3 linked regions of the Styela clava genome follow. The protein of the gene in region 2 purifies or fractionates together with the protein of the main gene of each other region. This does not show direct contact. Links are inferred from orthologs where the notes say so. Each region holds a gene or a part of one and is shown on either strand. Other genes may lie near its edges. The genes, in order: peroxisomal trans-2-enoyl-CoA reductase-like, peroxisomal targeting signal 1 receptor-like and peroxisomal acyl-coenzyme A oxidase 1-like.

The links.
Region 1: the proteins of peroxisomal targeting signal 1 receptor-like (region 2) and peroxisomal trans-2-enoyl-CoA reductase-like purify together in Homo sapiens (affinity purification with mass spectrometry; 3 studies listed by BioGRID, with this or other methods). This does not show direct contact. The link is inferred for Styela clava from reciprocal best matches to the Homo sapiens genes PEX5 and PECR.
Region 3: the proteins of peroxisomal targeting signal 1 receptor-like (region 2) and peroxisomal acyl-coenzyme A oxidase 1-like purify together in Homo sapiens (affinity purification with mass spectrometry; 3 studies listed by BioGRID, with this or other methods). This does not show direct contact. The link is inferred for Styela clava from reciprocal best matches to the Homo sapiens genes PEX5 and ACOX1.

The regions. Positions count from the first base shown.
Region 1 is NC_135250.1:4,733,315-4,740,596, forward strand, and holds peroxisomal trans-2-enoyl-CoA reductase-like, read right to left. Parts: upstream 2,273-7,282; 5' UTR 2,234-2,272; coding exon 1,379-2,233; 3' UTR 905-1,378; downstream 1-904. Other genes in the region: uncharacterized protein LOC120348670, read left to right, coding at 6,265-6,382. UniProt on the Homo sapiens protein: Participates in chain elongation of fatty acids. Catalyzes the reduction of trans-2-enoyl-CoAs of varying chain lengths from 6:1 to 16:1, having maximum activity with 10:1 CoA. Has no 2,4-dienoyl-CoA reductase activity.
Region 2 is NC_135256.1:14,572,602-14,580,212, reverse strand, and holds the start of peroxisomal targeting signal 1 receptor-like, read right to left. Parts: upstream 3,326-7,611; 5' UTR 3,266-3,325; coding exon 3,142-3,265; intron 2,474-3,141; coding exon 2,330-2,473; intron 1,382-2,329; coding exon 1,262-1,381; intron 884-1,261; coding exon 775-883; intron 422-774; coding exon 232-421; intron 1-231.
Region 3 is NC_135252.1:13,996,576-14,004,466, forward strand, and holds the start of peroxisomal acyl-coenzyme A oxidase 1-like, read right to left. Parts: upstream 3,524-7,891; 5' UTR 3,457-3,523; coding exon 3,324-3,456; intron 2,775-3,323; coding exon 2,609-2,774; intron 2,056-2,608; coding exon 1,892-2,055; intron 1-1,891. UniProt on the Homo sapiens protein: Involved in the initial and rate-limiting step of peroxisomal beta-oxidation of straight-chain saturated and unsaturated very-long-chain fatty acids.

The sequences.
Region 1 (7,282 bases), on a different chromosome or scaffold from region 2:
GATTCTACAACAAGAATTTATTATACCACTAATTTTTAATACTCTTCATGTAACAGACCCAGAGATTTTCGGGGATAAAAACTATCATTTACCAAATTTTTCATGACATTTTACTGTGCAATTTTCTACTTTTAATCATTCAATAATCCTTGCTATATTATATAAATATGTGCTTGGCAACCAATCACACAAATCAAATATAGAAAGTTACTATTGTTAAGTTCTGAGATCTTTGTCATCCCTTAGTTAGTAGTCAAGTTTAAAGAGCTATCTCTCTGTATTCCTCCTTGTTGAAACGATCTATACGAGTATTTTCGTAAGTTTCATGTTCTTGTCTAGCCGGCGATATAAAAGCCTGGCATATGAATCGTAATGGGATATGCGCCGCTTCCAACCTATCCTACCAGGATTGGACTCTCAATGAATGTAACATGATCGTTTGTTTAGTCACACTGAATCTGGTAATACCTGAATGAGTTTCTGTTATTGAAGCATCGCCTCTCCCTAGTTTTGTTTGATCTGGCCTTGCTGTCTAGGGGTCAGTCTCAACCACAGTGATAAGTTGGTCAGATCATTTCAAATGAGAGAGATACCAGTCAATAGTCATATTATTGACAGCTTCTTTACATTCTTGTTTAAAGCAGTTTTTGAACACCCCATAAAAAAAACAATGGTAACTGCTAACTAGCTATTCTGTAATGCAGTGGTGCCCAACCTCTTATGACTTGCCTGTTTTTCATTCCAGTGGTATTATGATTAGTAGATTCCAAATCTCATTATTTTCAAACAATTCTTGACCAAAAAAGTGAAAACTACCCGTGAAATAACCTTATCGAGCAATGAATCGAGGAAGAACAGAGTTTTTTGTTAATTGAAAAGTAGAATCAGTTTACACCTAGCATCTGGCACCAGGTTGGTTACGGCTGCTATGATGACTATTGTTGCTTTCTCGGCCCAAAGGTATTTTTTCTAGGAGTGTAGAAAAACTGATGTGACTGGTAGTAAGGTATTGAATTATATTTAGGTTGCATAGAAAATTAAATTTGATCATAAAGTAGTATAAAATAGATATTTGACATATTTAATCTATTGGATTGCATTTAAATATTGAATAAATTTAACTGGGATATGCCCGTAAAGGTCATAATCCCAGAATAATTCTAAAAACCCCTATTTTGTAGCATTAGCATCTCGATCTCTAATAAGGAAATTAGGTAGCTATTGACAATGGAGAATTATTAAAATGGAACAGAAATGCTATCTTAAAATTTCAAGCCAATTACATACAGTCTATATTTAAGAGCATATTTTGAATAAATAGAAAATTGGAAAGAAACAGATTTAAGAGAATATAGTAACAAATTGACAAAATGATTTTTTATAATTTTGCTTTCGTCTGTTCCCATGACCATTTGGGAAAGTTATCATGTTTCGGAATCCTTATGAAATTAGTGTAAAGACTCTGAGCACCATCAACTTTCAGACTTTCACCGGTTATATACGCTGCAGCCGGAGAAAGAAGGAAACACACTGCTGCCGATATTTCTTCAGGCTTTCCAAGACGTCCAGTCGGTTGAAGTTGTAACGCTTCATCAAAGATCGCAGGGTCAGCATAATTCGCCACAGCTGTTTCGGAATAAATTGTACCGGGTGCAACTGAGTTGATTCTTACCCCACTTCCTGCCCATTCCAAAGATAGCGTTTTTGTTAGGTTATCCACACCAGCCCTTGCAGCACTACTGTGAGCCATAAAAGTATATCCTTTCCACATGTCGGTGATAATATTGACTATTGAGCCACCATGTTCCTGCATCCAAGTTAAATATGCATGCTTGCAACAGTAAAAAGTTCCTGTTAAATTGGTTTCCACTACAGCATGCCAACCTTTAGCAGTTATGTTTTCAGCTCCGCTGAGAAATTGACCTCCTCCATTATTTATTAAATAATCAATTTTGCCATATTTTTCAATCGTACTTGTCATAAGGTTAATGACGTCACCCTCACTGCGAATGTTACACTTCGTTGTGGAAATCCTCCCTTTCATTTGCGGGTCTTCCTGCATCTTTTTCGCTGCTGCTTTTAACTTCTCTTCATTTCTTGAAGCAATTACAATGTCGCATCCAAGGTGGCATAGTTCCTGTGCAATTGCGGCACCGATACCCGTGGCACCACCAGTGACAATCGCGACCTTTCCAGAAAACAAATTTGGTGCAAATATACTACGGATTGACATTTTTTTAACAACCTGTTTGAATAATTTTGAACAAAAATTAGAATTTGTAAAAATTAAAATGAAAATTTGATTACAAAAGTATAACGAGTATCATTTGATTACAAAATATAACGCCTAGATTTTTATTATTCAAACTCATAAATCAAAAAAGTATTTTCAAATAATTTCCAACCAATGTCATTCATTGGTATAAAACTCTGTTTTACATTGAACTATTACTCTGAACCTTGAGTTGAGATTCGAGTCACAAGCCATACAAACCGAGTCATTCATTGAGTTTAATTGTTTCTGAGCCATTTCATTTAAATGACTAGTTGAAAAAGAGGGTCATTGAAAAATGGTGACTCAAGTCAATAGTCTCCCAAACACTGCGTATAAGTAATATTAGTCAGACTTTTGATAAAACTTAGGTTAAATGCACATCAACTTTTTGCCATACACAGTATAGCACAGTTCTCCGATTCCAAGATGTGCCAACATTTAGTTCAATAAAACAAACACTCTATTTGTCTCTGAAACGAGGGCGCCTGACACGATGGCAGATCGCACAATGCTTCTCTCGATAATAACCTAAATTGATCACAGCTGTCACATGACCGAAATTGACTTTTTTTGCTAAACATTTTTTTTCCGAAGAATCCAATGCTGGCGTTTTTAGAATTGCGCTTCCTTCTAGTTTATTGCGCAGTGCCAGTTTGCTGATTTTTACAGATATGGAGGCCCAGACTGTCTCGTAAAGGATTTGCTTGCACTTACTGTTATATTTGTAAGGGGCTGTTATGGAATCGGAGAACTGTGCCGTACTAGATATATTTTAAGTAATATCAATTTTATTTAAACATTCCTGAGACAAAAGCACCCTTTCTAAAAATAATTGTCAACAAATGTGTGGAATAAATTACACAGATTGAGTAATATAATGCACTCTTGATTTATATTAGTGCTGATATACAGACTTAGCTATAAAAGGTATCAGGACTTAGGATCGACATCCCATGACCAAGCCGGTAGTTTGTCATGCTTTGGAATTTCTATAAAGTTTTTATAAAGACTTCCAGCAGCATCGACTTTTAGGGTCTCGCCAGAAATATATGCTGCCGCGGGAGACAGTAGAAAACAGACAGCAGCAGAAATTTCTTCAGGTGTGCCGGACCTCGCGGATGGTTGATTATCAATTGCTTTATCAAACATAGTTGGGTCTTTGTAATTTGCACGAGCAGTCGGCGAATAGATTATGCCCGGGGCTACAGAGTTTATCCTTACTCCATGACTGGCCCATTCCAAGGATAAAGTTTTTGTTAAATTAACAACTCCGGCTCTTGCAGCTGATGTATGAGCCATATAAGGCATACCCTTCCACATATCTGCAGTAATGTTAACAATAGCACCCCCATGGTCTTTCATTGTAGTCAGATAAGAATGTTTACAACAGTAAAATGTCCCAGTCAAGTTTGTTTCAATAACAGCATGCCAGCCCTTTTCTGTCAGCTTTTCTGCTTTGCTTACAAATTGACCACCACCATTGTTAACTAGAAAATCAATTTTACCAAATATTTTCATGGTCTTTTTCATCAAATTTTCAACTTCGTTTTCTTTTCTAATGTTGCATTGAGTAGATATCACTTTTCCAGACAATTTATCATTTTTTTGCATCTCCTCTTCAGCAGTTTTTAATCGTTCGGCATTTCTCGATGCAATCATAACATTGCACCCCAAAAATGAGAGTTCATGGGCAATTGCCGCTCCAATGCCTGTGGCACCACCAGTAACGATTGCAACATTATTTGCAAATAAATTTGGCTTGAATACACTTTTGATCGAAAGCATAATTAATACAGTAATTTGGCGCACATTAGCTGCTTCTCATTGCATCGTACCGTACGGTAGGCTACCTAAATAAGTAATAAACCGCTTTGTAATAAGCAACCAAAAAGGACGGAAGAATAAGGAGCCCTTTCGCGCTACCTCGCGATGTCTGTCAACGAGCAAGAAATAAGTAAGGCGATATGGACTCGTTTAGGTGATCTATTAAAATGTAACGCAGCACAAACACACAATTAAGGAATATTTCGCAAAAAAAAAACACAATATATGCCATGAAGCGGAAAAAGATTCCCATTCAGCCAATCAAAATTTTGGTGAAATATACCGTTGTCGATCATGATATTCTGATCGTGATTTGCTCATGTAACTCATTTTGAATTCTGGTCGACCGATCATGATCCCACAAACTTGACAATGACTCCTTACGGTTACAAAAGAAGTTTTTCGCTGCAGACCCACAAATATCTGGCCCGTGTCATCTCTTTGCTAAGCTGTTAATAAAAGGTAATTGCTAATGGCGCGGCGGTGTGGCTCAACGGGCTAAGCGTTAACCTCTAACTACTCTGCGTGGGTTCGCAGGTTCGAATCCCATGCAGGGATGGTTATGTGCGAGAGGATTGCTGGACTCCTCGCCGTCGTTGAGTGGTTCACGTAACCGCTGGTCGGTTACGACTTCCTTCACCACCAAGTCCATGCTTCCGAAAACAAACAATACAGTAAATCTAATTCTATACCCGACTTGGAATGGTAACCGGGCGAGAGGCCGTGGATCGCCATATGGATAAGCCGTCTTATCGGCTTTCCTCTCCTCCGGAATAAATATGTAAATCCTATCCTATCCTATGAAAAGAGAGTACGATCATAGTAGTTATCTCGGTTACGATTTCGCGTTAGTGAAGAAAAATTTGAGCAACTGCCGCAATGCGTTGTTTTGAGACCCTAACCATTTGTTCTATGAAGCCCCATCAACTGAAGCAACATATTTTAAAGATCTATTATCAGTGTGATAAAAAAAAATCGCAGCATTTTCATAATATAAGCAAGCCACGCGAAAAAGATGAGATTCGACAGTATGGGACAATTTCGGATAAGTTTGAAGACGATATACTGCGTCCTATGCAGTTGTCTCGCGATTGACAATGACAAATGAATGTTCTCGCGGGGTTTTAGCGTCTGCACCAATTGCAAGCCTTTATTAAAAATTTCTTACCACTTATTATTGACGGGAAAATAATTCTTTTTAAGGGAGATTTTGTGGGGAATCAAATCTCAGCTTAAATCGGAAGTGGGAAATTAAGATAAAAAGGTTTGCTGTTTAGTGCAAATACATATACCTACATAGGTCCTATGTGGATAACCGACTGAAATTTGGAGCACAGTTTTAGTATGTACAGAAGAGCATCTATTAAATCCTATCTAATTCCAAAATCCGAATTGAACTGGCTAGTTCGTGGCTCGCATTGGATTTAATAGTTATTTGGTAGAATTTCTATCCCCAGGGAGAACGAATACAAATTTTCCACGCAGATGAATTTTTACCAAATGCATGGTGGGCTAAATGTGGGTTAATAGGTAATAAATGAATTGATTAAAAATAAATGTCATGCCCACACTGCATATTATAACGTTAAATATTTTTTGTAATGCCCAGTGGTGAACGTAATCATCTATTTTGAGAGAATATACTGTATATGTTTTTTACGACGTATAGCCTAAAGTCTTATTGAAAGTTCTTAAGCTCCATGAAATGAATTCAAAGTTTAAGCGGATCGTTTGATTTCGATAGAAAATCATATGAGTATATTTCATTCGGTAATCAATTCATAGAAGATATCTTTGTTTAAAAGGTTAATTCGAAGAGTTACAAGTCGTCACTTGAAACTTGCTGCACGAACAGCAAATATGCGATTGCTGCCTCTATTTTAGGAAATGTCGTTCAAATAAATGGATAGAAAACCGTCACGAGTGTGAATTTAAAACATTTAAACTGTTACCATAACTTTGGTTTATGTTTTTATCACGTCATTGGCATTTCCACAACAATGAAAAGAACACCTTTTTCACATTAGAGTTTTACGTCGTTGTTCGCTGACGACTTTCCTCGTCACCGCGAGACTTCCCCGTGATTACCGGAGCGATCACAGTCGTCTATAAATTCGGATTTTATCTACCACGAGTATCATTTAAAAACAACTCTCGTTCGCTTGATGTTCTACCGGTTAGAAGACAAGATGATGAGAATAACAATCGTCGTTCTCCTGTGTCTGGCATTGGCGGTGAATTGCCAAGTTGCAAATAAGCAGAAACCGCGAAAGAAATTTTTAAGTAAGACTTTTGTTTTCTAAAATGACATTGCCCGAATGTAAATCAGCATATTAGAATAACGTCGAGGATTGTATTCTCGTACCTTTCACGAAACATTTATTGAATTCGCGCAATATGGACGAAATATATCTGGCTACGTCTATGCATTCATCTTAAAACGTGAATTTCTTGTTGTTTCGTATAAATAACAGGTGTTGTGTTTCAAACTGCTGAAATGATACCCTTTTCAACTTGCCAAATGTTGTTAGTCATTCGAGAACAATTTACAGTGCATTTCTTCATTATTTTAATCTGGTCGAGCCAATACCCGATACCGACATCGCTTTGATAAGCGGGTAAATAATGTAATGGGTTTCATGTCCAAGTTTATTTTCATTGAAAGGAAATTGAGCAATAGTTTCACATCAGAATATTTTTTAAAAGAATTGATTTAATAATTACTTCTTCGTGTTCGCTGTTTCTGACTTTCCTAATATTTTCTATATAACATTTAGTAGAAGATAATTTTGTCATGTATTTTTTATGCAATCCCCTTATTTACAAGGTGGACGACCTCACTTCGAGAAAAAGGTCGCTATGTTGCATTTAATATCCCGTGATTCCATTCCATAATCAACCGCGATAAAAACACTTCTTCTCTATAAATTTTAATACTCAACCAGTAAAATTTGTTTTTTAAAATTGTAGACGTATCAAAATGATGTGTCAAATTTTCTATTTATTTCTGCTATCCGACTGTGATTAGCCTAAAGGCTTGCCATATTCTTGTATCAGATTCACTCTCTATATGTTGAACAACAAACCAAGGGTTTATAGCGCGCCATCACTGACTTGCTAATATCAGTGAATCGGTATTTAATTGTGAAAAATACCTGACCTTTTGCCGAAGTGGTTTACGCC
Region 2 (7,611 bases):
TCTAACCTGATAAACAATAAAAGAAAGTGTTTCAGAGAGAAAGCAGATGAAAAGAAAAAAGATTTGGTGTTTTTAAAAGTCATAAAGTGTGGTCATGAAAAATGACAATTAAATGAAGATGTTTAAGAATAACATGCTTAACAACATACCTTTGTGATGACCAGATAAAAAACAGCATCATTTCCTAATTTGTGATGATTTTTTATACATTTATGAATAATTAAAATGTACCTGACTTCCATTCTCTTCCACAAATTCTGATGTCCAATCATCTGCTTTACCTTTTGTACCAAGACTTGAAACAAAATCAAAAAATTCGGTATTTGATATTTTATTGTCTTTCGAGAATGATTCGACCATTTCATCTGCCGCTTTCTGTAATTCTGTCTTTTCTTGAACTTCACTGCCAAATTCCTTTGACCTGGAAAAACATCATCAGTTGAAAGATATTAGACTATGATAAAAGTCATATATACCAACTAAAAATCACTTTAGGATTCAGTTTGGAATGAAAAAAGAATTTCGAACGGAACAAACATTATCTGGTAATATTATACATACCAGTACCTAAAAGTTCATGCATGGACATAAAACAGTGGTTCTCAATCGGGGGCCCGTGGCCTACCATGGGGCCGCAGAGCAGTTGGAGAGGGACCACCATGTCAGGGGCAAAATGATAAACAGGGGGATGGCTATCAGTGCTAAAAGCCTCCGTGAGGGACCACAAGGCATAATACATGTCAGATCTAAGTCAATCATAAGATAATATCTCACCAGTCTTCAGTACTTGTAACATCATCTATTTCTCGTATTCTGGCAGGTTCATAACCCATCATATTAGGTCCATTCAAATTATTATAAAAAGGTATTTCTTGATGTTGTTCTGAAAAGTTGATAAATGGACAAAAATTATGAGAAACATACCAATGAACAGGGAATAATGTGATAAGTTCAACATGTGTTCAGAATTTTCGACCAAATACAAATCACATGAAGTCAGCAATTGAACAAAGAATTTTGTTCAGCTTGTTAAGCCACTGAGTTATAAATATACACTCTATTCCTAATATCCTGGCACAGACTCTGGTAATATTTAAATTCTCTAAAGTTCTTAATGATATGACTTCATGTTTTTGAAATAACACATCATAAACAATGAAAAGCACAAGACATCTAACCCTACTAAAATATAAGGAAAATTGAAGCAAACAACAAGAAAATGTCTGATAAACAATAACATATAACTTAAATTTATATTCACCATGTCGCAAAAATTCTTCAGCCCACAGAGCTTCTTCACGTCCAGTTTCTCGAAATGGAGCAGGCCTAAAACTTTGAAAATCTTTTTCCCAATGTTGTGCAGTAACTGAGATTTGAATTTCTGTTGATTGAATAGCGTGCTATTATTTGATTTAAAAATACCATGAGCTAATTCAAGCTATATCTAGACAAATCATTAATCACAAAGTCATTTACAGCAAAAACTCTGCACAACATTACATATCCATCAATGCAATAATTTTCAAATCACAAGCAATACCCATTGACTCAATAAAATGTGAACAAGACCTGAGTATGTAGGTTTCAATAAAAAACACCAACGAGAATATCGGTTGGAAACCGAATACTTATCGATCGATAGTTAGGGGATCCCCCAAAACAGAAACTGCAGTTTCGATTCATCCGCTCGTGTAACTTGCGCACTGCGCATCGCACACACACACTCGGCGGGTCTCAAAATTCTCTCGCTTTACAAAAATCTAGATCACTTAATCAATAATTGATTGATAACTCGCTAATTATACGACATAATTCGCCCAAAATCAATTAGAATCTGGTCCGAGATAAGATGAATGCACATGCAAAATCTGGAGCAGATTCAATCTCGCTTTCGTGAGATATCGCGTGCATCTAACAGACACACAGACAGACATACATACATACAGACAAATACCTATCAATATACTTACCGATCTTAAGATCGATAAGTAATAATTGCTCAACCAAAGCTTGGCACATAGTATGTATGTATGTATGTTTATTTGTCTCAAAAATATAACAGTATATGCATAATAATTAAACGGTATAACAAAGACGGGATACATGTTCAAGACCTTACTGGCCAAAAACACAGATGTGCGACATGAACCCCAACAAGTATAACTGCAGTTTAGGACTGCTGCGTTATAGTAGGACAACAGACATGGAATATACAATTAAAACTCTTGTACAATACACAGGACAAAGAGGTACGGCACATCGACGATATGTACAATAAATAGATGAGTAAACTTCACACAATAGTATAAGGCAGAGTAAAATGTTTTACGTTGTGGTGGTCTGGAATCCAGTAAACGTGCTTCATGTAACAGTCGTCCCATATCGAATGTCTGTGGATGTTTGACCACCATTTGATGATCTTGAAGAAACTCATTTGCATATTGTTCCGCGAGAGGTTGATGAGCTCCATGGCCTGAAAAAACACATCAAATATTACAATGTTAGAAAAATTTTTGATATTATTGAACTAGACAATCTTCAAACGATTATTAGGGTGAAGATATAAAGAACTATCATCAGCTGTTTAAACACTTCATGACCTAATGGTAAAACTGTTGAACCATTGTTGACATAACAAGTTGACGAAATCTGCCTCAATTTTCAACATCTCATTCATATATAAAATGTATGAAAATTGGGTAGAGGATCCGGGATGACCATCATTCTCAGCATAGAACAGCATGGTCACTGTTGCATGATGTATCAAGAATGCTTGTCTAGAGCATTGTTATGGGAGTTGTTATGTATGAAAATACATATTCACTCATATCAGCGTATAAAGTCACACCCTGTATTATTGATTGTATCATCAATATATCACCAAATGATGTTGTCAGGTTGTTGTGTATCAGTTTTCTACATACTTATAAACGATTGATTGTTGAACCATATATTAATGTTAGTAGATGTTATCGCTACTGGTGATAAAAGGGATTTCAGACTTTTGGTATGGTAATTATAATACAGTATCTGAATGCAGGAATGTGATCACCCAACGGTGCATAAATCTAACCTGCACTCTACAGAATGATTGACCAATTGCAGAATTGACAGACGGATGAATAAACCAAGGACCCTTACCATTTACTCTGTTAGTCAGTCCTCGATGCTGAAACGATAAATCCTGGTTAACGTGCTGAGTTATTTTCATCAAAGGATTAGCCCCTCCACATTCACCTGCCACCAGTTCCTTAATCGCAGACATTTTACTTCGGAAAAGCCTTCCGCAGCGAGCCAACTCAGAAACTCGAACTGCGATGAATGACCACTGTGAAGCTAGTAGCAAACCTTCTTCGAATTGTGCGCAGCGGTGCGTTAAGTCTCGTTTTTGTGCTCATTGAAGAGTGATATTACAGCTTTGTGCTTTTTGAAGGGTGATGGAGTAAAACGTAGGCGATTTCTAAATTCCACACGGCAGAATTGCTCTCGATTATGGAATTGCTCTCGATTATAGATATGGAAGAAACATCAAGACCAACCATCCGAGACCAACAATCGCCGTGAAAACGCACAATTGACGATTTTCACAGCGCTAATGTTGTTATTAAAATAGCCGATTATTTTCGGTAGCGTGACGTGTTATTTAGCCGTAATGACAAATAGCGGAAGACAAATGTCTTGTTTCATGAAGAAAGATTAAAATTACATATTGTTTATTTATTTTTTGTCAATTGTGCGAGCGAGGCACTTTTTATTCATTGTAAAAATACCGGCGGGAAACTAGCGTAACTTTTTATATAAAATAATTAATGTGTAAAGTATCTTCCATCAACTTTTTGAACTAAATTTAACTCAATGAAATTTTATTGCTGTCGCAGGGATTTGTCTAACGGTTGTCTTAAAAGCATTACAACCGAAAGAAATGCGATAGAGCCGTGTCAATATTACAAGAACAGCTCAGATTTATCAAATTTGCGAAAATACAAATTACATACAACACGATATTATCAGGCACTTTACCACACATTTTTATGTCCGCGGATTACCGTGTTAATTTGAGAAATAACGCTTTCATTTTGTTGACGCAATTTATCTCACATTATTATGTCCACAGTAGTATATTACAGTAGACTCTATCGACGCAACAACGAGTTACACTGAACACAATTAAATTAATATAGAAGGACTTTTCAAATTCCTGTAGTTGTCGCGGATTAAATATTTCACGCCACATAAGAGTCATTGTACGCTGAATACGTCAGCCGTTTTAACGAACACACAATCTCGGCGAACGTTTTAGAAGCCGTTGCATGGGAATTTCCGATTTTGAACAATCGGTGATTTTAATAACAATATTAGTGCTGTGAAAAACGCAGTCGATGTTATGAAAATTTCATAAGAAATTATTCTGCGCTTTTAATAGAGCGTCTCGCATAGATTCGAGATCAGACATGGGATAAATTGTGTCCAAATATGTTCTTAATAGAAAGTCCTTCCGCTCAAGTGGCACCCAATTTTATAATTTCTTATCAAAGTGGAATATATGAAGTTTATCACACATATTGAACCTAAAACTACTCGAACTTAGAAAAGGGAGTACTTCCCTGTTGAAGATACCTCAATTCATCAAAATTACGTAAAGCGAAAAAGGGTTAAATTTTGCAATTTTCAAATATTAATAGAAAGTCTTTCCGCTCAAGAGGCACGCGATTTTATAAATTCATATCGAAGCAGAATATATGAAGTTTATCACACACATTGAACCTAAAACTACTCGAACCCAGAAAAAGGAGTACTCCCCTGTTGAAGATACCACTTTTCATCAAAATTACGTAAAGCGAAAAAGGGTTAAATTTTGCAATTTTCAAATATTAATAGAAATATCTTCCGCTCAAGAGGCACGCGATTTTATAATTTCATATCAAAGTACAGTATATGACGTTTATCACACACATTGAACCTAAAACTACTCGAACATAGAAAAGGGTGTACTCCCCTGTTGAAGATACCCCTTTTCACCAAAAATACGTAAAGCGAAAACGGGTTAAATTTTGCAATTTTCAAATATTAATAGAATTATCTTCCGCTCAAGAGGCACGCGATTTTATAATTTCATATCAAAGTAAAATATATAAGGTTTATCACACACATTGAACTTAAAACTACTCCAACTTAGAAAAGGAAGAACTTCCTTGTTGAAGATACCCCTATTCATCAAAATTACGTGAAACATAAAAATAGGTAAATTTTGCAATTTTCAATTATTAATAGAAATATGTTCCGCTCAAGAGGCACGCGATTTTATAATTTCATATTAAAGTGGAATATATAGGGTTTATCACACACATTGAACCTAAAACTACTCGAACTTAGAAAAGGGAGTACTCCCTTGTTGAAGATACCCCTTTTCATCAAAATTACGTAAAGCGAAAAAGTGTTTGATTTTGCAATTTTCAAATATTAATAGAAATATCTTCCGCTCAAGAGGCACGCGATTTTATAATTTCATTTCAAAGTAGAATATATGAAGTTTATCACCCACATTGAATCTAAAACTACTCAAACTTAGAAAAGGGAGTACTTCCCTGTTGAAGATACCCCTTTTCATAAAAATTACGTAAAGCGAAAAAGGGTTAAATTTTGCAATTTTCAAATATTAATAGAAAGTCCTTCCACTCGCGATTTTATAATTCCCCCCTCCTTTCAAATTCATGGAAAACTGAAAAAGTCACAAATAGCGCGTGCGATTGCTTTTCGCTAAAATTCCTGATTGTTTTTATCAGCGTGACGTGTTATTTAGGCCGTAAACACTTTTAGTTGGTGTTTATTCTCCCTGAATCACAACAATTATTTCACGACAACGATAATAATTACTTTATTTTTGCCCAGAATTGAAATTCGCTGAGAGTTATTATACAATCAATCGAAACTAAATACAATTAGCCATTAGGCATGTTTATCTCATATTTTTACATCAAAAGATTGAGTGGTATTTCAGACTAATAATGTTTATATTTTGACGCAAGAAGACGTAACCGCGAGTTACGTTGGACACAAGATTATATCAATATAGAAGAAAGTTTTAGATTCTCGTAGCTATCATGAAATGAATATTTTACTGGAGAGAATGTTGGTATACGCTGAAAAACTCGGCCTTTTCAATGAGAGCGTAATCGCGGCGACTGTTTCATAAGGGAATGGAAATTTTCGGTTTTGAAACACACCCTTTTTAAAATCCTGACTGCGCCCCTGGCTGATTTTCATCATTCCACCGTGAGCTACATGTAACCCTAACAAAAACGATGAAATAAAGGCGCTCCGTAGTATGTGCACCAAGATGGCGGACACCGGAACGTAGAATGTGTACCAGGTTTGGGTTAGGGCATAATTTTATTCCAGTTATATTTAGAGATGTACCGATACCGATTAATGTTTGGTGTTTGCTTTAACTGATTAAGATACACTGTACAATGTACAGTAACGCTAGTAATCTCGGTGTTCAATTAGAAAACTCATAAGCCGGGTCGTCCAATTTGAATTTAATGTCAATATCGCGAGCTTCGAATATTGTTGTTCGTGTTTAAAAGAATATCGAATATCACCCACACATTCTAGCGCCGCCGTCCTACGTTCAAATTAAAAGCATTTTACAAATATTTTCCTTCGTGGCTAATCGTAATCGTCGACGCAATAAGTCAAAGCCAACATGAAAGAATATCGATCAGCACCGACAAAAAGAAGGCCTACCTATAACCGTCGAGGATGTTTTTTTACTTTACTATTTTATAATATTCTACAATTGCTATCATATATTTTGAGACATTCTAGAGGGATAGGCGGTCACGTCAATATATCTATAAAGTAATTGTGTAGTTAAACAAAATTAAATTAATACCTAATAATTGTGTCGGAATTTAGTTTATCGATGTCGATGGACTAAATGACACGCGTACTTGACGACAAACAATCAGAATTTATACCCGTGCCAAAAGTATATGTGCCGTTAATAGGATTTACGAATCGATTCGAATCGCATCTTTTCCGAATCGATTCGAATCAGATTTACGCGATTCGGAAAAAGAGAGCGATTAACCGAAAAAAACAAAACATTGACCGTTTTTTAATAAATCGTTGTTTTCGGCGGCTTTAAATCTGCCGAATGCGTGCATGCGCACTCCAAATAACACCAAATTACGGGACCAAAAGAAATACATTCAACATTTGTTAATCGTTGTTTTCGGCGGCGTTAAAACTGCCGAATGCGTTTATGCGGCACTCCAAATAACATCAAATTACGGGACGGAAATGAATGAAAATGAATTTTTCGTGATTGACTCATTTGTTTCAAATTCGGCACAACACACTCTTCTACGCATCACTCGAGATGATGTGTGGCGTAATTTCCACCAAACTGCAAGTTCAGTTTTCCACTAAATAGCCTAAGTTTCTATTATGCGCGAATTTAAATAGATCGTATACTTAAAAATTCGTGATAATTTTGATGAAAATTTTCAACAGCACACCCGCGCTGCGACTGAGTTATTGTACGCCCTGTCATGATTAGATAAAGAATCAGCTACCGACGTCTAGATAATATTTAATTTTGATTGA
Region 3 (7,891 bases), on a different chromosome or scaffold from region 2:
ACATTAATAATAATTTTCAACAAAACAATACCCCGACGGTCATTGAAGCTGAGTTCGTTACCGAATAATTCACAATTTTATTTACGGAATTTGCAATTTCAAGATCTCACTTGACGATTTTGATGATGTAATTATTACTGCTTAAATGCCTCAAAATACAACAAATGTAATCATTTTCGACGATAACAGGCGCAACAATTCGTAAACGAGCCGTTATAACGAAATTCGCGATTGATTTTACCTCTCTCTTGTTTACAATTTTAACATCCCGCCGGCCACGTATGGTCGCACCCGGCTGTTTGTTGGCAGAACAACGATACGCTAAAGTTAATTGATCGAATACAGGGAAGTATTTATTTATCATTTCACTTGCGAACATCGAGGTTTTGGCGGAATTGTACATCATGTTGTCTTTCTGAAATAATAACTTTTTCAATAAATGTTCATTTTACTTTTGCGTCTTTATTATATGTCGGGTTTTCATTTATTTTAAATTCGAAATTGTCCGAAATACTCCAACAGGTGTATAAGTACAATAATAATAGTACTTACCAGGGAAGTTTAATACACACGATGTGTGAAGGGCGTCGTAACTCCCGTTTATTAATTATAAATTTTGTTTACATTCTGCTTAGAAAACAACGGCAGTCATCTCACGTAACTCTCGCAACCAAATCTTTTTTTGCAGCATTACAAAGAGTGCTATTTATGAATGCTGAAAGTACATGACATTACTAAACATTTTGCCAATATATGAAGTTTTCTGCCCGATTTAAACTAACTCGCACACAAACCAAGGCATGTCGACATTTAAAAATTACTTGTCTTTGGGTAAGCTCTGAAATAGTATAATATAAATGTAAAAGATAAATTAGGTCACGCTAGCTCACGAAACGGGAGGATTTTCAAAGTGATCTTGTGTAATATTTCGGAGAAAAAGGTTTGAAAGAAAAGTAGGTCAACCTATCTCCTAAAACAGGGGAGTATCCTGCGTAATATTTCGGAGGGAACGTAGGTTAACTTATCTTTTAAAACAGCCGGTGGCGACTTTCAAAGTGGTTCAAAATCACAAATTAATAATTATCAGATTAGGTTTAGGGATAAATCGAAAAGTTGAATTTCCAGCGCACCTAACCCTAATTAGTTGATTGCTATTTATATTTGGAGGGGGGGGGGGGGGGGGGAGAGATTATTTTGCACGGGATTTGTACAAACGATCCACCCTGTAATTAATATGGTTTCCAGCCTGCCTCGTATCTGTTAGATGGAAGGAGTAACAAATGTGAAAGTCTTTGCTGTTTACGCGAGTAAGCAACTGACACCGCCAGTAAGCAACTGACACCGTGATACATTGCATGAACGTTTTGTCCCGGAAGGTGTTAGCAGATGTCATTTCTTTGCCGATGAATTCGCTCGTTTTAATTAAACATGAATTCGCTTAGAGGGAACTGGGTTAACGAAAAGGCAGGCTTCTCTTTAATTCATAATATTAACCGGAGGAGCGCTTTTTTGAGTATCTATGCCGTTTTAAATGGGTTATATGAAAGGCTAGGGCACCTAACTTGTTAAAATCGGCAAAAGCACTTTCGCACTTTTTTTTTCGACTGCGAAGCACTTTCGCACTCATAATTTGCTTAGAGTTAACACTGCTTGTCAATACAAATGATTCGATTGGTTGTCACTTCTGGGCCAATCACATTAACCCGCATACTAAAGTCAGATCTACTGACAGGATTCCTTTAGTGGTGTATTATTTGTAAATTCATGATTTTGATTATTGAGAGATGCTTATTGAGCATCGTTTCACATTCAAAATACCCCCATGATGACTTGATCACTGCTGTACAAAACAAAATTGCCACAAGCTTATTATTACGATCATTTGACTTACCGTGGCCCATTTCCGTTTGAGCATAGGTGCCCAAAATCTCATGATTTATTGCAGGTATCAACCACTTTGCTCTTTGTTCATCAGTTGCTTGGCCCATCAATGTAGGCACAAACATTCCATAATGAAGATCAAAAAAGACATTAGGCCTTTTCTTGGTGACATTTCTGTAAGTGATATTGAAAATAAGACTTGATTTAAATAAAACATGACATCGGACAATACACACATTTTGGATGCCAGGAAAATTGTAATTTACAAAAATCCTATAAATGTGTGAAGAATAAGCTTAGTATCATGTAGCTAACTGTCTTTTTTCACTCAAAGCAAGGTCACATGCACTCACTGAGGAATAGAGGATTCGATCTCTGAGAGAGGTTATACACAATCACCAAAATATCAAGAGCTACTGTGACTATAAAGAACTTATTAACTGAAATCCTTTCACCCCAAAGTACCATTTTACTTCTTTTTGTATTGTTTATTCACAAAGTGTATTTTAGTATGGTAGAAAAATACCTACTGATTACTGAAATGCCCAATAGAAAATACCAATTGAGACATAAAGAAGTTCATGCGAATAAGACCGAAAAACAGCTATGAGGTAGTTAAGAATGTTAATGATAGATTTTATTCTACAATATTCAGTATAGTTATTTAAATAAAGGTATTGGAGGCCCTGAAATAGTTTCTAACAAGAGATAATAACTACAATCATACAAGTTATAAAACATAAAATCCTTGTGATCTTGAACCAATTCGCCCAGTTTTTCTTTCTTCCTGACAAGAAGAGACGATTTTCTCATCCATTCTTCAAATCTGTCCATTCTAGACATGAAAGAAGGATCTGGTCCATCGTAGTCCCTATCCGATTCAACAATGGATACTGAAACATAAGAAAATTACATGCATCAGAAAATAGTATGCAGGAAAATTTAAAACAATTTGAATGCAAAATTAAACTTGAACAATAAGAAAATAAGTTAGATGGAATGTTTTGCACCAGATATATGGAAGAGCATATCATCAAGATCCAAATCTACCTTTATCAACTATTCATATGAAAAAAATTATTTCAGTTATCAAGAACTTTATATTACAAAACAAACGAGCATATAAAATATAATGAAACTGTGAAGATAAATCTGCACAAATATTTTACTCAATCTCATTATGCTAAAAAAGTTCTACATTTTATTATATTTTATTTATATGATAGGTAAATGATTTTTAATACGTTCTCATAGTTTCAACACCAATCAAGACCTTCATTATATTTGAACACTAAGTACAACTGTAATTAAGTCAGGTTAATTCCAATCTATTTATACATACATATTATAAGTATCAGTATTATTTACAGGTTTTAATGATATGAAATCCACAAATTTTTGAATCACTCTAACTTCAGTTACTGGAGAAATGGATGACCTACCAATTTTCTTTCTTTTTTCTCTTTCCTCTTTACCACCATTCAATAGCATCGCTAGTTCCTCATAATCAAATGTTCTTGTATCTCTCTCTTTTTGTATATCTGGATTTATTTTCTGCTCCTCACTTGATGCCATTGTTAATCACAAATTTCAACTAGTTGTATAATTACTGAATTATGGACACACTAATAGCTTTAAACAAAATTAATAAAGTTGTTACAATAGCTGACACAGACTGAAATGCTAAGCATGTACTGGTACCGGTACAGAAACAAATGGATATCGCAAATAGATGCCATCAAAACAGATTACAGAAAGAGGATATGAAAAACATGTTCCTGTATGAATTGCAAACTTACAGCTACAGCCTGGCACAGCCATAGATCAGAAAGAAATAATAACCGGCTGCCTAATCCCATACAGTACCTGACATGGATTAGTAACCGGATGAGAGGCCTTTCTTCCACCCGGCCGGCCGGCCCAGATAAACGTGAAAATCCTATCCTATCCTGCCAGCCTTCACTGGAGTAAGCCCAGTTTAAAGTCAGATTCAGATACAAATTACAAAGCCCCCAGCAACACCTCAACCGTAATTTAAAACCATCTTGGCATCTTCAGATCTTTTACAGTTTTATAATTCTACTCCCCCATTCAGCCAGTCCAAAATGATGGCGACAACACAAACCCCACTCCCCAGGCGAAAAGAACAAAGTTACCGTACCTAGCAGACGCGCCGATCGGCGATTGCCAGAACTCAAATTTGATTCGAGCGATGCGAGAGACGACGAGAAAGGCATCGGTGGAAAATCAGCTGATGCCTAATGCGTTGCCAGATAAAAGCATATAAATTGTGAATAATAGGATAGGATTTACAGATTTATCCCGGGGGAGAGGAAAGCCGATGAGACGGCTTATCCATATGGCGAACCACGGCCTCTCGTCCGGTTACTATTCCAAGTCGGGTATGGGATTAGTTATAATGTTATGTTCGGAAGCATGGATTTGGTGGTGGAGGAAGCCATAACCGACCAGCGGTTACGTAAACCACCCAACGGCGGCGAGGAGTCCAGCAATCCTCTTGCACATAACCATCCCTGCATGGGATTTGAACCTGCGAACCCACGCAGAGTAATTAGAGGTGCGGTGGCAAGCGTATTCCTAACGCTTAGCCCGTTGAGCTACACCGCCGCGCAATTGCAAAAAAATCATAGTTCTCCCCCAAATATAAGTGTCTTACAAATATATCCGCCTCTTTGAAGAAACACAAAAAGACCTATTTTACCCCAAAAGATAAGTGTCTTACAATTTCTGCCCCCCTATTTACACAAGACCAGCATTAGTACATATAATAAAGTGTTTATACAACGAGTTTGGAAAAGTTTGTATGTGGGGAAGATTGAAACCTCGTTTAAACCTGGCTCGATAGTCAATTCATGAAAAAATTTGCAAAAAGACCAATTTTGCACAAAAGAATAAGTATCTTACAATTACAACTACTTATGAAGTTGACACTACAGCGATCTCATCAAGACGTTTAAACCGCCTGTTGTTGAAACGAGTACGCTTTAGCTCCTGTTGACTTTTCTCCATGATTCCCTGTGTTCGATTATCTTTTGCTAAGTTCTGTTTGTTATAGACCGAGGATTTTACGTAAAGATGCCCATACTTTTCATAGCCTATTGTTGTATCATACCTGCCTAAATCCCTACTAGCAAAGCCCCCACAGAGAAATTTTGGGTACATAAAATGTTTTAAATGCAGTCATCAGTTCCGGGCAATAAAAACAGTTTGAACCACATAAACCAGTATCTGAAGCAATTTTTGCCAATTTTGTATAAACTGACGACTGGGCCATGTTGAAATAGAATAAATATATTTCCCCCCATATACTCCTTTTCAAACTCGTTGTGTAAATAATACCTTAATATAATTACTTTACTGGTCTTGTGTAAATGAGGGACCGTACATATAAGACACCTATTTTGGGAGTCGAAACATGTCTTTTTGCCAATTTTAGTATAAATAGACAATTGGGCCAGGTTTGAACGAGAATAAATATATCTTCTCCCCATTCAATCTTTTTCAACCTCGATGTATAAAGAGCCTAATGCCCTAATGTCCTTTACTCCACATCCGAGTATTTACGCCAGAAATATCTATATCAAATTATTAAAAAAAAAATTCGCGATGACCGATCACAGAAGATGAAACTTCACTCTCAGCTTTAATTGATGTGGGCTTTCCAGTTAACTTTTCATGTTATTTTGCGTTTTTCTGTATTGCAGCATTTGTTTCGATGCGACATTGAGAGTGACACCACTAGAAGACACCCTGGCGACATATAGGCTTTGATAGGATAGACTCAAATATTAATACCAGGTCCTACGTCAAGTCCGACCAACGACTAACGGTCCGACGTATCGTAAACGTTTGTTGGCAAGAAATACCACTTTTGAAGTTGCGAGTCTCCGCGTATACCCGGGTACTCAACTAAATTCTACCAACAATCACGTACTACAAAATGCATTGTCCCCCACTTGTCTCGCTCACGGTTAATAAAAGAATATATCATGATAATATTTATTTCAATTTATTGAGAAGAAAGCTTTGGAGATGTTATATTCTGTGAAATTGAGTAAATATGACGCTGCCACAATTTTATAGTCTCGCAGCCATCTTGTATTGAAAACTATTCGAAAATAAAATAATTCACACAATATATCATTATATTCTCGAGACAATGTAAAAGGGATTTCGAATTTTTTTTACACGCTGTTCTTGATATTTTGCTAATTATCCAATGTTACATAAATGAACAATGTGTCAAAATGGACCTTTCCCCGATCTTTGACCCCCGAAAAATTCTTCTTATACTTTACCATTACAAAATTTTCGGGGCTATTTTAAAAGTGCTTTTGCGAGTTGGCGCCTGTAAAATGAGGTATGTGTTTCACAGCATCATTATGATTTATCGCATATAACAATCTGTTTTTTAAAAGTACCGGTAAAGAATTTTAGCCTAGTCTATCCCAGCTAATTCTACACTAATTTTCTATTACTGAAATTAAATTAAAACTCCTAGGAAGACAGAGTGATCTTTGAATTGTCTGATTTATATCTTAGTTTCCGAAACACAACTGAAAACTAACGAATAGAGTTCGAAAACGAGGTAATGTTCACGACCACGCTTGAAAATCTGTCTGGGCGGAAGCGAAAAGGGAGCATTGTTACGTCACTTTTTGCATCTTGCTGATTGGCTAATGTCACAAAATAAACAGGGAAGTCGATGCTCGGGGAAAGGTCCATAAGCTCGGCGAAACTTGTTTTTAAGATTAATCACGTGACTCTCTAGGGTAAGTCCCTGAATTTCCCCTGATATATACAAAGAACACATTTTGCGATCGCGGCGTGTTACGCATGTCTATGTGCGGACAGTTTGATAGGAATAAGATATATATCAACATGTAAAGACTGAAATACGAAAAGGACATTGTGGCATTAAGGCAACATACAGACATCATACTGTCATAACAGAATCGAAAGATAATAAATCAAGAATATTAAGAAAAGTATGGAATTGAAATGCGACTGTCTGCAGATAGCCTACTGCAAATACTAGGCTATTACTAGAGATTCTACTTGAATACTAAATGAGATTTAACTATATATGCACAAATAGTTTGTAGTGTATCTTGAAATGACCATACCAATGCTCAACGTTTTTAAACATTCATTTAATGGCATATTTTTGTTTTGTTCTCTTTGTGTGTAGATATATTGCTTTAACAATGCTGGTCAATAGATATCAATTAGGCTACAAACGTGTGATTAGTGTTTTTCCTGATAATTTATTTTACTAGTGTCCATACACCGAATTTACCTTCAGAGTTTTGAGTTTGTTTGTATCTTAAACCTCTTTATCACCTTTTCAGCAATGCATAGTCTAGCAATCACTAGTGTAGTAGTTCTCGTGGCTTGGTTTTTTTTAGCTTCAATGACCATTGTCGTCACTTTATTGCATTGCACTCCCCCTATTATCTTTGAATGAGATTGTATTGGTTATTATCAATGTACCGGTAAGTGTTAAAAGTACAACAGTCCGAAATACTATCGGGTATTTTATTTGTTCAATTCTGGCCCAAGCCTCATTTATTTGGGTTTTTGTGTGGGTGTGTGTGCTGGTGGGCAGGCACATGATTTTCCTCATGTTTTAAACTTTTTTAAAGGTTGTGCTTCAATTCGTGTGTGTTATGGTGTTTTCGAAATAATCCATCTACCGATATGGGTAATATGCGGAAAGGCTCGTCACTTAAATACGGATACCGTTTCCGTATGTAAATTCAGAAATTGGCAGAAACCCGTTAGAGAATGGGGTAACCAATTACAGGGTTATTGTATTATCTCTTAGTAAGTTCAAAGCAAAGTCTCTCTATTAGGGCTGTCCAAAATCGAATAATTTTTTGATTCGAATCGAATATTTTTGCCGAATCGAACCGAATAATCGAATATTATTGCGCAATCCTAAATCTGTCTCTATTTTACAATAAACGCCTGCCCTTCGATGTTGTGG